2 linked regions of the Diceros bicornis minor genome follow. The protein of the gene in region 1 purifies or fractionates together with the protein of each later gene. This does not show direct contact. Links are inferred from orthologs where the notes say so. Each region holds a gene or a part of one and is shown on either strand. Other genes may lie near its edges.

Evidence for each region.
Region 2: the proteins of GSKIP (region 1) and GSK3A purify together in Homo sapiens (affinity purification with mass spectrometry; 7 studies listed by BioGRID and IntAct, with this or other methods). This does not show direct contact. The link is inferred for Diceros bicornis minor from reciprocal best matches to the Homo sapiens genes GSKIP and GSK3A.

The regions. Positions count from the first base shown.
Region 1 is NC_080763.1:41,849,894-41,857,324, reverse strand, and holds the start of GSKIP (GSK3B-interacting protein), read right to left. Parts: upstream 3,009-7,431; 5' UTR 2,940-3,008; intron 1-2,939. Other genes in the region: ATG2B (autophagy-related protein 2 homolog B), read left to right, coding at 3,526-3,687. UniProt on the Homo sapiens protein: A-kinase anchoring protein for GSK3B and PKA that regulates or facilitates their kinase activity towards their targets.
Region 2 is NC_080773.1:17,022,067-17,029,810, reverse strand, and holds the start of GSK3A (glycogen synthase kinase-3 alpha), read right to left. Parts: upstream 3,088-7,744; 5' UTR 3,003-3,087; coding exon 2,720-3,002; intron 993-2,719; coding exon 805-992; intron 1-804. UniProt on the Homo sapiens protein: Constitutively active protein kinase that acts as a negative regulator in the hormonal control of glucose homeostasis, Wnt signaling and regulation of transcription factors and microtubules, by phosphorylating and inactivating glycogen synthase (GYS1 or GYS2), CTNNB1/beta-catenin, APC and AXIN1.

The DNA.
Region 1 (7,431 bases):
AACTCTCTCAGCATGAACAAGAAGTGGTCAGTACGGCTTAGTATGGTGTTGGGCACACGGTAAGCTCAAGAAATATTATCTATTATTATATATTAAAAATAAAGTGTTTAAAAACATCTTTAAAGAAGAAAAGAGCTGATCCTGAAACTCAAGCAGTTTGACTAAATTCGGTGTTTTTATGTTACGTAGGGTGACTGTGCTGCTGCCTTGTGCGACCCCAAGAGCTGTGCAGTCTGGGAGCCCTAACATCATATTCCTGTTACCTCAGGTGCAAGTCTTAAAAAAAAAGTGCCAACATCATCTTATCGGCTTTGATTTCACATATAAACATGGATTTCTTTGAAGGATGGCCCATCCAGCCTCTAGTATATAGCTTCTAACCTGTCACTTCAAATCCTTTCACAAAATTCTGAAAAAGTTGACAGTTTGATTGGAAATTATCTTCACCTTCCTCACTTAATTAATGCTGTTAACATTTTGTGATAATACTTTGTCTTTGATAAAACACAAAAATAGCACTGTGATTTAGGGTGAGTTCGCACCCTATTTAAGCTAAAGATATAATCATGACAGCTCCTAAACCTTAACATATATGCTGAATTTCTTCTAGAAAGCATAAAACATATAAGACAACACACTTAACACTTTGAAGGGAGTATGTTTGTTACAAAATGTTCCAATTTTTATTTTCCTTTTCTGATATTTGAAATCTCAGGCATTCAATGGACAGCCTGAATGTAATTCTATATTCCAAGGGAAATCACTTATTTAACATATGGACTTGAAAGAAGTCAACTGTACCCATCCGCCAAAAGTCCAGTTCAAACCTCCCAAGGCCTTTTGTAATTCCCTGCCAAAAGAGATCTCACATTTTCATACCACTTTGTTTATATTCCTTTTATGGCAAGTATTATCATTATTATTCACAAACATGTCTTATCATCTTCAAAATATATCTGCCTACCAACTGCTTCTTACCATCTTCACTGCTGCTACTCTAGTCCAAGCCACTGTCATCCTTTGCCTGGATTATTGCAATATCCTTCTGTCTTCTTTCGCGTGGATTATTGCAATATCCTTCTGTCATCTTTTGCCTGGATTATGGCAATATCCTTCTAACTGATCTGCAATATCCTTCTTCTGGTCCTCCCACCCCCACACGAGTCTTATTCTCAACACAGCAGTTAGAGGTCAGATTGTCACTTGTCTCCTCGACCCCATTCACCCAGGGTAATGGCCGAAGTCCTTATAATGGTCTACAGGCCTGGCATGACTTGACAACCCCTCACCCCCTGTCTCCTCCTCTTTCCTTTACTCCCTCCTGGTGTTTCTTGAACTCACCAAGCATGCTCTTGCCATAGGGCCTTGCACTTGCTGTTCCCCCTGCCTGGAAAACAACTCTTCCAGGTACTCATGTACCTTGCTCCCCAGCTTTCTCCAAGTCTCTGCTAAAATGTCACCCTATTAAATAAGAGAGGTCTTTCCTTACCCCTCTATATAAAAGTGGCAAATCTTCCCCTCTCCATTTCCTTTATATTGCTTTATTTGTCCCTATGGCACTTACCAGCACAAGGCATATGATTTATTTGATTATTGTTTGTTTTTCCTCCCTTCAATAAAATACAAGCTCCAGGAGGGCAGGAACTTAATCTGTTCACTGCTGTATCCCCACACCTAGAACAGTCCGTGGCACATGCAGGCAATCAATAAATATTTATTGAATAAAGGAATCGACTTTTCACTCTAGAACATAAGCTCCTTGAAGGTTCTGCCTGATTCTTTACATTTTCACATCACCAGTTGTGGAGACTTTTATTTAACGGATCCTTAACAAATATTTTTGAATAAATGAAGAGCAAGGGAATTGAAGTTACCGAGAATGCTTGGGACAAGTCTACGAAGAATGAGGGGCAGCAACAATCCAAGCAACTACATACACTGGAGAGCACACTGGTTCTAAAATGAAAAAGTGGTTGTGGAAAGGGGAACCAGAGCTTTCTCTGTCGACATTTCTGCTCTGTGTTAGTAATCCTAAGGCATTCATGAAAGTTATCAACATCTAAACAAAATCTCCTTAAACAGGTCGTCTTCATTTACCATCCTAAATTAAACTATACGTTATCAGGACTCTGCTTAGGTTCGTTCCCTACTCTTATCATTTAAGCTTCATCACAATTCTCGGAGATAAGATATTAACACGCTCACACTTGGCAAAGGCTCAGAGAGGGCAGTGGCCGGTTCAAGGCGGCTCGGCTAATAAATGCCAGGGTCAGGATTCTGACCCAGGACAGAAGGCTTCCAGGCCGCTGAGCACCCGCACGCAGGCCTTTTCGGGTTGACTGAGTGAAGAGCCAGCTCCGCCCCTGCAGTTGTTGTCTCCTAAAAGGCAGAAATACGATTGCGCAGATTCCCAGAACAGCACAAACACTTCGCTCAGGTTTCTCAGGGGTCGGGAGGCTTTGGCACGGATCAGAGAAGGCAGTTCTGCCCACAAATGCCTCGAAAACTCAAGTTTCCTGGTCTTGGTGCAGCCCACCCAGGATGAAGAAAGCGCCCTCTGAACTGCAAGCCACTAGACACACAGTAACGAAACGAAGCTTTGGAGACAATACCTGAACGAGGCAGGGGACCAATAACTTGCCGACAGTGGGCACCGGTCAATACTCGGGGGGCGGGCGGGGATGCTCGAGGGCGGCTGCAGCTTCCCCGCGGCGCTCCGAGCGCCCGTTTCCGGGGTCGGGGTCTAAGGTGACCGGGACGGCCCAGGCCGGACCCGCCCCCAGACTCCTCTCGGCCGCCGCACGGGCCCCTTCCGCCGTCGCCCCTCACGGCCCGGCCGCTGCGCCGCGTCCCGCTCAGAGGGCCCCTGGCCCGCCCCCGAGCCCTCTCAGCGGCCGCCCGCCCGCAAGCCCGCGGTCACCCCCGCCCCGGCCGCTCACCTGTGCGCAACCGCTGTCTTCTTCTTCCGCCCTCCCGACGTGTCTGGAGCGGACCCGGCGCCGCGCCCTCTCCTCCGCCTTCGCCCCGCCCCCTCGGAGCCGGAACTGCTCCCCTCCGGGCCCTTCTCCCCGCCCCCCCGACCCCCAGTGTGGCGTCACTTCCGCCAGCGCGGGGTCGCGCGCCGGGAGCGTCCCCAGAGCCGGGAGCGCGCCTGGCGGATGACAACAAATTCTTTGCGCCGCGGTGGTGGAGGTGTCCCCCTCAGCCCCTGCCGCGTCTCAGCGCCCTCTCTCGCACCTTTTGCCTGTGCCCACTAGGACCCCCGCGGAAGCCCCCGGGCCTGGGGCGACGGGAAGTCCTCCGCCTTGTCCCCGCCAGGCCTAGCGCGGGCGGCGCAGGCGATGGGGTCGCCCTGAGGGACGCCTGGCGCCTTGAGGGCATGGAGGGGCCACCTCGGGCTTAGGCCCCGCCGCGGTCTGGGGACGCCGGCCGGGACCCGAGGCACCGCCGCCGCGGCCTGGAGCCGAGCCTGCGCCCCCAAGGCCAGAGCCGCAGCCCCCGCCGGCCCAGCTGCCAGCCCTCATCATGCCTTGGCCGTTTTCAGAGTCCATCAAGAAGAGGGCCTGTCGGTACCTCCTGCAGAGGTACCTGGGCCACTTCCTGCAGGAGAAGCTGAGCCTGGAGCAGCTCAGCCTGGACCTGTACCAGGGCACCGGGTCCCTCGCCCAGGTCCCCTTGGACAAATGGGTAAGAGCTGCCGGCGGCCAGCCGGGCGGGACTCGCTCCCCTCCTCGGGCGATTTGAACGAGTGTCATCTAAGACTGGTGACGTTCCCTGGGAATTGTTTGAATCCAAGTGTGGCAGGGCTCAGAGAAATGGGTTCAAGTCTTGTTAAATCTGTTTCTAGCAAGTTTGCGCCCCCAAATCACGTGCTGCGGAAACTGAACAGAGGTAGTGAAGTCTGCACTATGCGAATGGGTTGAGTCAGTGGTTTGGGGTCTGGAAGCTGGCCGGAAGGGGTCCATCGGAGGAGGTGACCAGTGCTGCCCCTCGGGGCAGGAGGGGTCGCGGGGTTCTGTGGCATACAAACCCCGTTTCATGCGATGACACTCCGGAAAGATTAAGGATGAGGAGGGCCTTTGGGGATGTCAGAATTCCCAGTTACTCCTTTATTTATTTTGGGTTGGCTACTCGAACGCCGCGGTCCCGTGACAGCGTTTGCCATCTGGAAGAAAGTTAGGTGCAGGCCTCTGCCGGTTTGCCTGCTTTTACTTGACGATAGGTTAACAAGGCCAGCCTGGGAATGGTTGTGGCCCTAGTAGTGCCGTTTAATTATGCCTGTTTGCTTCACGTGACAGATCGTAAACGCAGGTGTTGCGAAAGCACTGAAGCTGCAATTTTCAGACATTTTAAAACCTGTTATCTATTTATCCTCCAGAGCTGTGGGTTGACTCATTGTGTCTTACAGGTGCTTCATGTGTATTTCAACGCGCCGCGTACAGTTGTACCTGCATTTGTATGTTCAATGCATAGTGTTTTGCTTAAAGTATATTCAGCTCTGAGTTTGACAAGAATAGAGTGGCTTTATTTATTGCACTAGCGTTTGCTGCTTACGGTTTGAATTGGTTTGTACCTTTCTAGAATTTTGCTATCCTAAAAACATTCCTACACAGTTTACATTTAGGAAATCATAAACATAGGTGACTTTCCTATGATAGTTGTGCCAAACGAAAGGAAACCTTGTTTTCTTCCTGATTTAAGGAAGAAGCTTAAGTGTTTTTTTTCCTTTTATGTAAGAGCATTTTTAACAGAGTAGTGACTTCCTTAGCCATAGAAACCTAAAAAACTCAAATTATGGTAACACCTCATTATGACCTTTAACTTGTACCAATATGAATAAGCATATAATTTTATCAGTAAGTAGATGACTTAAACGAGAGAGGGTACACAGGATAGTGGAAAGAACCCTGGTTTGAGTAGCAGAAAGACCTAGTCCCACATCAGGCTAGCCCTGGCTGCCACAGTTAGCCAAGTGACAGTGCACATAATTCACCTGAATTCAATAAACATTAATGGAGTGTACACTCCTTGCCGGGCACGGGTGTTAGGGTACTGTATGGCTGTAATTCTTACTAGAAGATAGGGATTCTGATGGATTTTTTTTTTTAATTCAACCACCCATAAATCTATACTTTTGGTACAGTTATGAATAGGCTATCTTGAAGGAGGAATGTTGGACATTTATTAATTGTCTTTTGTGGGTTGAATGGCTTTATGCATTATTCTTTAATGACTTTTCTTTTAATGATCTATAAGGTGGGGTGTTATTTCCATTTTACAGATGGAGTTAAATAATTTGCCCCAAGTCACACAACTAGCAAGTGGTACAATGAGAATTCAAACCTATCTAATTCTTAATTCATTAATCACATGGCTTCAAGCCAAGGAAAGGGTAGTTAATGTTTATTGAGCATTTATTTATTTCAGACACTCGGCTAGGCACCTGAATTAGTGTGGTTTTGTTTAATCCTCATGGGAAATCAGAGGTGGTTTTATATATATATAAATTTTTTTTTTTTTGTGAGGAAGATCAGCCCTGAGCTAACATCCATGCTAATCCTCCTCTTTTTGCTGAGGAAGACCAGCTCTGAGCTAACATCTATTGCCAATCCTCCTCCTTTTTTCTTTTCCCCAAAACCCCAGTAGATAATTGTATGTCATAGTTGCACATCGTTCTAGTTGCTGTATGTGGGACGCGGCCTCAGCATGGCTGGGGAAGCGGTGCGTCGGTGCGCGCCCGCAATCTGAACCCGGGCCGCCAGCAGCAGAGCTAGCGCACCTAACCGCTAAGCCACGGGGCCGGCCCAGAGGTGGTGATATTTGAATTTTACAGTTTGACCTCAGGATCGTTGGCAGAATAATTTATGGCTAGATTTAATCTGAAGATTATGTTTTATTCTGCTCCTTGAAGGTGAGGGATATGCCTAACAAAAATGATAATGTCAAGTAAAGCATCCAGTATACATTTGCTGTTGCCGATTTATTGATTTATTAATTATAGTGTGCTGTGTTGATGACTAAGATAAATCTTGATGTGACACTTAGATATAAACTATTCAAAGTTTTGATTCCAAATTCAGTTACTTTTGACATTTGATTTTAATGACTGTCATGACTGAAAAAAAGATACCTCACAAAGATTCATAGATCCAAATGGAAGAATTGCATCGTTGGCAACATTACTAATGTTTCAGTTCTCAACCATCAGTTGTGCACAGGATTGTGTTGAAATTGCTGTGACGTTCCCTTCTTCCTTGATCTCAATCAGTTATTCTTGCTAATTGGAAGGTATTTGATTTTTATATATGTAAAAAATTAACTTTAAAACCTATTTTTAAAAACTCTGTTCAGAAAACTTTTAGATTCACTGGAATAATCTTTCCATGTTTTCAAATCTTTTATAATCTGTGTAGATAATGACTGAAAAAATAGTATTTTTAATAGATATATTTCAGCAACAAAATCATGTAACACTGGAAATATTTCCAAATATAATTTTTCAAAATGTTCTCCCCTTAGTACAAGTATCCTTTGAAGAGCAGTTACTTTCTCACTCATTATTTATTTTTTTTTAAACTTTTTTTCTTTGGTGAGGAAGATTGGCCCTGAGCTAACATCCGTTGCCAATCTTCCTCTTTTTGCTTGAGGAAGGTGGTCCCTGAGCTAACATCTGTGCCAGTCTTCCTCTACTTTGTATGTGGAACACTGCCACAGCATGGCTTGATGAGCAGTGCGTAGGTCCACACCCGGAATCTGGGCTCCCAAACCCCAGGCTCCCTGAAGTGGAGCCTGAGAACTTAACCATTGCACCATCGGGCTGGCCCCTCTCACTCGTTATTGAAGTGATATCTTTACTTTGACAAGATAAAGTGTGTTTTGTTTTTTGGAATGTACCTGCTAGGTAGCATATACTACTGGTAGCCATCTGTCATCACATAAATGGTTAGCATATCTAGAACTCTTCTCTTTGTGTAGAAGAAAATTGCTTATCATCTTTAAATTTAACTCGTAAACATTAGGCCGTTGAAAACCCAGGAAATCAGAAAGTTATTGTCACTTCCTGTCTCTTTACAAAGATTCTACTGTTCAAAGGTCTGCTTTTATTATGTAGAATATAGTATGCTCAAGTAAGTTGCAGTGTGCTGAAGGGGAGCATCCAGCTGAGGGCACCAGCCTTCACTCTTCCCCATGGTGGAACTGCTAGTCTGATGTATGGCTGGAGTGAGGGTGCCAATGCCTATTTGTATGTTGAATATTAGTAAAACTTTTAAATCTAAAAATGTGAAAAATTTAATATAGAATGTCTAATTTTCTTCTCACATCCCTGTACATAGATCATCTGTTTTTCTTTCTGGAATATATATACCCCCCTTTGGAGATCACTACTTTAAAAGGGCTTGAAGTGGGAGGGAGGAATAGAGACAAGGGGTT
Region 2 (7,744 bases), on another chromosome or scaffold:
TCCCCACCCTCAGATCCCTCTCACTTCTGGGACTCTACACAAATCAAATTCTGACTGACACCTGGAGCTCCTCCTGCCCCTGAGAGTACACACTGCCAAGACCCAGGCCCTGACCTGGTTCCCTCCCAGCCTAGGCTCAGTTCTCCTACATCCAGACTAACCTGGGCTCCAAAATGCCAGTCCTTCAAACACCAGTTATCCCTCAACTTCCACCTCCTCCATCTCCTAGTTCCCTGGGCCTCCACTAGCTCACAGGGCACCCCTTCCTGAGGGGGACAGAGCCCCACACCAAGGCACATGGTTTGGTGAGCGCTGACAGGCTCACCTTGCACTTGCCAAGTCCCTGGGGCAGAGCTCAGCCTTGCAAACATACTCATCAACCCCACCAGCTTCCTTTCTCCTCTTGGCAGAAGTGTAGCTTAGTGGTTAAGATGGAGGGCTTGGGAATTAGAGGGCAGATTCTAGTCTTGACCTCGGGCAATTCTCTTATCTGAGTCTCAGTTTCCAGTTTCTGCTTACTTAGAATGGAAATAACAACAGTACCTGCCCTCAAAGAATCTTTACATAAATTAAACAAGAACTGCCTACAAAGCACTTACACAGAGCAAAAGAACCAACACTGTCAACTCTGGGCTCTCCTGGAACCCACATCCCATCTTCCACACAACTCACTCTCTGCTTTCTCCATTCCCCTCTGGCCCATGCTCAGATCCCCCAGGGAACCCCAAGTCCAGCACTCTCACTGGGGCTCTCTCACCAGTCAGGCCCAGTCAAACCTCCTTGTCCCCATTCCCTGCAAGCTACCTTGAACCTCTTGTCCTGGAGAACCTTCTTGATAGCCACCAGTTCCCTGGTCTCTGCCAGCCGTGCCTGGTACACGACCCCAAATGAGCCATTGCCAATCACTTTGATGTCTGTGTAAGCCACCTCCTGGGACCGCTCTGGGCCTTGGCCTAGAGTGGCTACCACTGTGGTCACCTTCCCGCTGTCACCTGGGGAACAACAAAGGGGACACACAATCCATTGACTTTTCCCCTCTGGCCACCACCCCATCGTGGGGCTGTGAGAGGAAGGGGAATCTCTACTGGGGGCCTCTTTGTCCCTTCCTTGCTTTTGAGGACCAGTGCCCTTTCCCCTCTTCCCTTCAGGGGAATCCTGCCTCCTCCCATATGGGAGAATACTGACACCTAAATCTCTTGCCGTTCAAGGATTGGTAACCCCTAATTTCCACTTTTAGTAAGCAGTAAACCACTGGTCCCTCTTGGTTTGAGGAGATACTGACTCTCCCAGATGTTGAATCCATCTACTCAGCTCACTGCCCTCTGGCCCCTCCTGACTGGGGAAAGCCTGACCTAACCTCTTCCACTTGAGAGCGGAAACCCTGAGGTACTTCTACTTTGGGAAAGCACTAATGTTTCTCACAGCTCTGGGGATAGTGACCTCTAAGTCTTCCCCAGTGGGGCTGGTAACTTCACCACTGGTTTTTGGTGACAGAAATCAATGACTCCTCCTGCTATGAGTGCTAGTGCCCTGACTCACTTTTTGGGGTCAGTTAACCCTTACCCAAATACTTTGGGGTTAGAAAAGGCACTGACCTGACCTCCTCATCTGTGTGGTCCAGAGCCCCAGACCTCTTTTCCTGTATATGGGTGGTCCCTAATGGGCAAGCCAACTGTGAGAATGGTGAACCTGACCTCTATTATCAGGGAGCTAACTCAGCCTCAGTCCTTTGAAGGAAAGCTAGAATTCCCCATTCCATTTTCCAAATGGCAGTGAACTTTGGTGGCATTCTCAGGGGATGGTGACCCCTTTTCTTCAGCGAACTGATGAAAGGTTCCCCAAAGAAAAGGGGTCACTGATGAATCAAATCCATTTTGAGGGGCCAGTGACACCTTCTTTTGGAGGGAGATGATCCTACATAGCTATTTTTCCAGAGCCAATGATACCATACCTCAGAACAATGAAAGAGATATATAATCTCAGATTTATATTCTATGCAGAACTATGACCCTCCCCAACCCCCATTCCATTTTTGTGAAAGGAGACCCACCAAGTCATAGTTTTTTGAAGAACAATGACTATGAACTTGGTCTGAAGGGTATGCTGACTCCCAATCTGTCCTTATCTCTAAGAAGCAGCAACCATTAATTTCCACCAATGGGGATACAGTTGTACATATTATAGACGGGTAATGATACTAAAGCTTGTGTTTTAAAAGGGAAGACGAGCTGGGTAGCAAGTTTGGAAAGCCCTGGCCCTGCTCTTTGGGGACACAGTAACCCCAAATTCCCCTTCTCTAAAGGGAAGCAAATTCAGATCCCCCTTTTTGGGTGGTGGTGGTGGTGATCTTATTCTTGTTTTCTTTGGGAACAATAATCCTTCAGCCCTATTTGCAAGCGACGATGACCCCTGATCCTGTTCTCTAATGGATGGCAATGTCAGATCCCTGTTTTTACGGCTCAAGGACCCAAGACCTTGGTACTGGAAGAAGAGAAACCTGTAATCCCTATTTCTTTTAGAGTTAATAATTCTAATTCTAAACTCCAAGTGATGGTAATCCCCCAAATCCCTTTCTCCGGGAGGCGGAGAGCTCAACTCCCAGTTTTGGGAGGCACAGCGACCCAGAGCTCCTATCTTGGCATAAGGAAGAAGCTAATCGACGTTTGAGGGGCTTCAGGAACCCTAACCTCCACCCCTCACGGGCGCCGCTAGTACTCACGGCCCAGCTTCACTCCTGGCGGCGGGAAGCTGGTACCCGCGCCGGGGCCGCCGCTGCCTCCTCCGCCGCTGCCGCTGGGGCCACCTCCGGAGCTCGAGGCCCCCACGCCCCCACCCATGGCTCCGACTGACGTCTTCCCGCCGCCGCTGCCGCCCGGGCCGGAGGCCGAGCCTCCGGGGCCGCCACCGCCGCCGCCGCCTCCGCCGCCTGGCTCAGCGAACGAGCTGGTTCGCGCCCGGCCCGAGCCCCCAGGGCCGCCCCCCGAAGGCGCGCCGCCGCTCATGGCGCCGAGCGCAGGCCCAGGCCGCGGGGCTCGGGCTGCCCGGGCTGCCCCAGCCGCCGCTGCCGCCGCCGCCGCCGCCTCCCCCGGGCTCCGGCCTCTTCCAGGCCGCGCCGCTCGGGCTCCGGCTCCGGCCCAGCGCCCGCCGCGGGGCACGCCGGGAGATGCAGTCCGCCTGCCCTCCGCGCCGCGGTCGCCGCCCTCGGCGCGCACGGAGCGCCGCGAGGCACGCTGGGAAATGGAGTCCGCCAAGGCCTCAGAGTAAACCGCGGGGATGATGGGTCGCGCTGCACGTCGGGAAATAGAGTCCTGGGCAATAAGTCGGCCGATTGTGCCGATAGCGGACCCCGAAGCACTTTGGGAAGCAGAGTCAGAGTCGCACACTCACTCCATTGCGGCAACGACGAGCCCTTAGGTGTGCCTCAGAAACGTAGTCGGAGCCACACCATCAGTGAGCTATGTAGGTCTGATGCACGCCGGGAAACGGAGTCAGGTCGCTTACTTAGTCTATTGGCTATGTATGCTGACCGGCGCCATGACCGGCGCCAGGTGCTCTCTGGGAAATTGAGTCAGCGCCTGTAGACCCGCAGATATCGGGCTGTGAGGCAAGCCGGGAAATGGATTCGTCGCCACGCCCTCACCGCATTGCAGGTGTAAAGCGACTCCCAAAGCACGCCGGGAAATGGAGTCCCCTGTGATCCCTGAGCCCCCCCACTCCCACCCCCCACCCCCCACCCCCCACCCCCCAAGGGGATACTGCAGTTCCAGAGATAGGCTAGGAAATGGAGTAGGTACAGCGCTCCTCCTCCCTCGCACGCTAGGCCGCAGTCCCTGCTGGGAAATGTAGTCAACACCACGACTTCCGAGCCGTTGCTACGGAGAACCCTTCTGTCTTCTGGGAAATGGAGTTCAAGGCAGCCTCCCCTTTGACTGAAGGGGAGGGATCTACCATGAGCTTGAAACATGCTGGGGAACAGTCCAGACCGGATCCTGAGCCTTTGTGAGGCGAGACTGCAGAGGCTTGCCGGGAAGTGGAGTCCAATGGGAACCCTCGGGAGAGCGTGAGCGAAAGGTGAAAGACGGCAGTACCCTGGGGAGACTGAAGAGTGTTTCAAACACTTCTTCCCCGCCCCCAGGTCCCAAGGAAGAGCCGAAATCAGTCAGGGGCTGCTGGAAAATGAAGTCCAAACACTCCTTCCAGTTCCAAGTTTCCCCAAATCGGAAAGGAAAAACACCCCGCAAACGATTTGGGAAACAGTTTCCCGCGGTTTCTCAGAACACTATAGTCTTCGGATACAGTCTAGTTTTTTCTAGCAATGTGGGTTGTACCAGGAGGCTGAGCCAAGCGTTAAAAAAGATGAAAATACAATTTGTCTTGAACCCCCATTCAGTTTTTTGCGTTCTCTCTCTTCCTAGTTACAGGATCCTGGAGGGACCAAAACAAGGAAGCCGGCGGCTAGGAGTAGCCTCGGGTTTTGTGCACGCATTACGTCGCCCCATTTACCGATTAATATCCGGAAGGACAGTAGCCCCAAAGGACGCTGGGAAACAGAGTTCGTGTGTGTGTGTGTGTGTGTGTGTGTGTGTGTGTGTGTGTGTGTGTGTGTGTGTCCCGGAAGTACGTGGAACTGGAATAAAATCACCCTCAGCCCCTCCCGCCTCGCGGAATGATGGGAAATGGAGTCTCCAGACTTTAATCTCAACCTGTGTTCATACTGTCTGCTGTTTTTGTTGTTTATTCTGGTGAGGAAGATTAGCTCTGAGCTAACATCTGATGCCAATCCTCCTCTTTTTGCTGAGAAAGATTCCCCCTGGGCTAACATCTGTGCCCATATTCCTCTACTTTATATGGGACGCCGCCACAGCATGTTTTGACAAGCATTCCTGTGTGCCCGCCTGGGATCCGAACCTGCGAACGCCTGGCTGCTGAAGCGGAGCCGCCGCACTTAACCGCTATGCCACTGGGGCGGCGCCCTGTCTGGGCTTTCTGAAGCCTGAAGAAAGTCTCCACTCATTCTGTTCCTGACTGCAATTCCCAGCGGACGTAGACACGCGACAGAAGGCAGCGCTAAAACCTTTTCAGACTACATTAACCAGAAGGCAAAGCGCGGACACACTTCCGCTCCCTTCTCAATGAATGTGGCTGCATCACGCACAGCCCGGAGCGAGTCTTTCTGGGAATTGTAGTTTCTCAGCCAACCGGTGCCTGCTGCCCTCTGATGGCAGCTCGGAGTCGAAAAGCAAAAATCTGAGAGAAGCTCCAAAGCCTGGGGAATCGTACACCGGACCAAGAAGGCCCACAAGGGCAGGCAGCGCAGCGTTACTTAACTGGCCGTTACTTAACGGCCAGAACCCGTGGGACATGCGCAATGGGCCACGCGTGGGCAACCGCCGCGAAGGGATTGGGATCCGTGGGAGTCTGAGGGCGACCGTCTCAGGGGATCTTACCAGGATGTTTGTAGGGGCTGAGAACGTTTGTGGAGGAGTGCTAGGGTGGGTTCTAAGTGTCTCTGAGGGGCCTATGGGTATCTGAAGGTGCTCAGGGGAGTCCGTGGAGAGGTGAAGGGATCTTACTGGGGACCAGTAGAGAAGTCAGGGGACTTAGGGTGTCTTTAAAAGGTCTATGGGACACTCAGAAACTACTGGTGACTGAGGGGATCTCTGAGGGACCTGAAGGGGTGAGGGATGGTTGAGTAGCATCAGGAAGGAGGTTTGGGGGTGTGTGAGGGTGCTGGGGGTTATAGGTTTGAAGGGGGTCTCTGATGGGATGAATTAGTTGGTGAAGTCGTGTGAGATCTACGAAGGGCTTTCTACTTGGACTCAGAGATCCCGGAGGATGTGGAAGGGAGCAAGGGTGTGGTCTTACAGGAACTGTGAATAGATTTAAGTGCGTCATTAAAGATTAGAGGAGCCGCTGGTGTTTTCAAGACCAGATGGCACCAGTGACATCCCACTCAGCCAGAATTTGGGGCAGCAAGTCTGGGTGGGCTGTGGTCTGACCTGGAGAGCAGTTCTGGAGCTGAGCACTTTTTGAGTCCATATTAGACCTGGTTAGAGGTGCTTTGAAGGCACTGGCATCAGAGGCTGAGACTAGTCAGGGTCCTCCCCCTCCCCACAGTGATGACATCCCCCTTTCTCCATCACACCGCCACCAACTCAGCTGCATCTATGTTGCCAAGAAACATGCCTCATCCCAACTTCCAGAAATAGCCCAGTGGCCCCCACCCCAGGGAGTGCCTTACATCACCCAGGAGAGGGAGCAGTTGCCCACAGGCCGCCTCTGGAGCTTAGGTTTCCTGCCAGTACCCCAGCCCTGGATCCTCTCTTCACTGCCAACAGACATCATCTGGGACCACCCACCCTGGGCTGGCATGAAGTGAAGATGAATCGAGTGGATAAGAGTTGCCAGTTTCTTTCCCCTCAGAGTTGCACAGGGTGGGGTTTCATGTGCAGCCTGTTCAACAGGCCCTGAGCCCTCAATTCCCACTCTCTTAGCAGCTGTGTGACCTTGGGGCAACTCCTTCCCCTCTCTGGGCCTCAGGCTCCTCACCTGCACTGAAAGGGTTGAGCTGTCTGTAAGGGCACTTCATGCCTGGATTCCTCCTTCTGACTCTCTCATCCCTGACTCGAACTCTCCAACCTGGGCTTCTAGCTTTATGAGCTCACCACTCAGATCCTATGATCTTGAGACCCTGGTCTACATCCAACCATCCCGGCTTTTAGGGGTTGTTGAAAGAACACGGGCTTCAGAGACAGACCTCATTTAAGCCCATCCTGGCTGGGCTTAGGGCCTTGGGCAAGTCATTTCACTGAGGCACTTGCCCCTACCTTGCTGGATGTTGGAGATAAAGCACTGCAGCTCCTAACTAGGTACTAGGTACTTGGCTCACAGTAGCTCAATCAATAGCAACCAGGATTAAGCTAGGCCCTTCCCAACTTGCTGGCAGAGGGTGTTCCCATGGTTCCATAGGAAGACCTTGCAAAGTCTACATTTCAAGAGACAGTGCAGGCCTGTCGCCAAAGGAGTCCCAAATGAACTCAGAAGCGCCCTAAAAATGATGTGTGGCACGCTACTAGGGGTGGTCCAAAAGGAGTTTCAGGCCTTTAGCAGAGTCTGGGGTCCTGGGTAGGAACTCAGAGCGAGAGGAAAGGTATTGCAGGCAATCAGAAGAGCAAGGACAGTGGTGTGGTGGTGACGAGCCTAAAGTGCTTCCAAGGACGCGCAGATCCCCATGGAATAGGGGAGCAGTCAGAGAGGACGAGTGTGCCTGGGACCTTACTCATCAGGCCCATGGGGGCTAGGCTATGTGCCCCCGAGGTTGGGAGAGCATTTCCCAAGCCTGAATTTGCCTCATTCCGAGGCAGTTAGGCTGTCTGGCCATAGATCCACGGGGGGCCATTTGGGGCCCGTCCTTCAGAATCATGCGAAAGCTGTGGCCTTGTGGCAGCTGCACCCAGCACCCAGGACCCAGGACAGATCACTGCATCCAAAGGTCCAAAGTTTTATTGTTTTGAATACATTCTCCAGCAGCCCCCAACTTCCCTCCCCCCCACCCTCCATCCCTAATACAGAATAAGGCTTGACAACAGACCCCCACCCCAGGGGCCCCAGGTGGGAGGCAGAGGGGGCTTCCAGTTTGGTTTCAGGGCACCCCTTTCCCACCCCCCCTACCCCCCTGCCTATGGGCTAGTCCTAGGAGCAGCTGGGGGTGAAAGGGTTGGACTGGTGCTGGGGTGGGCAGCGG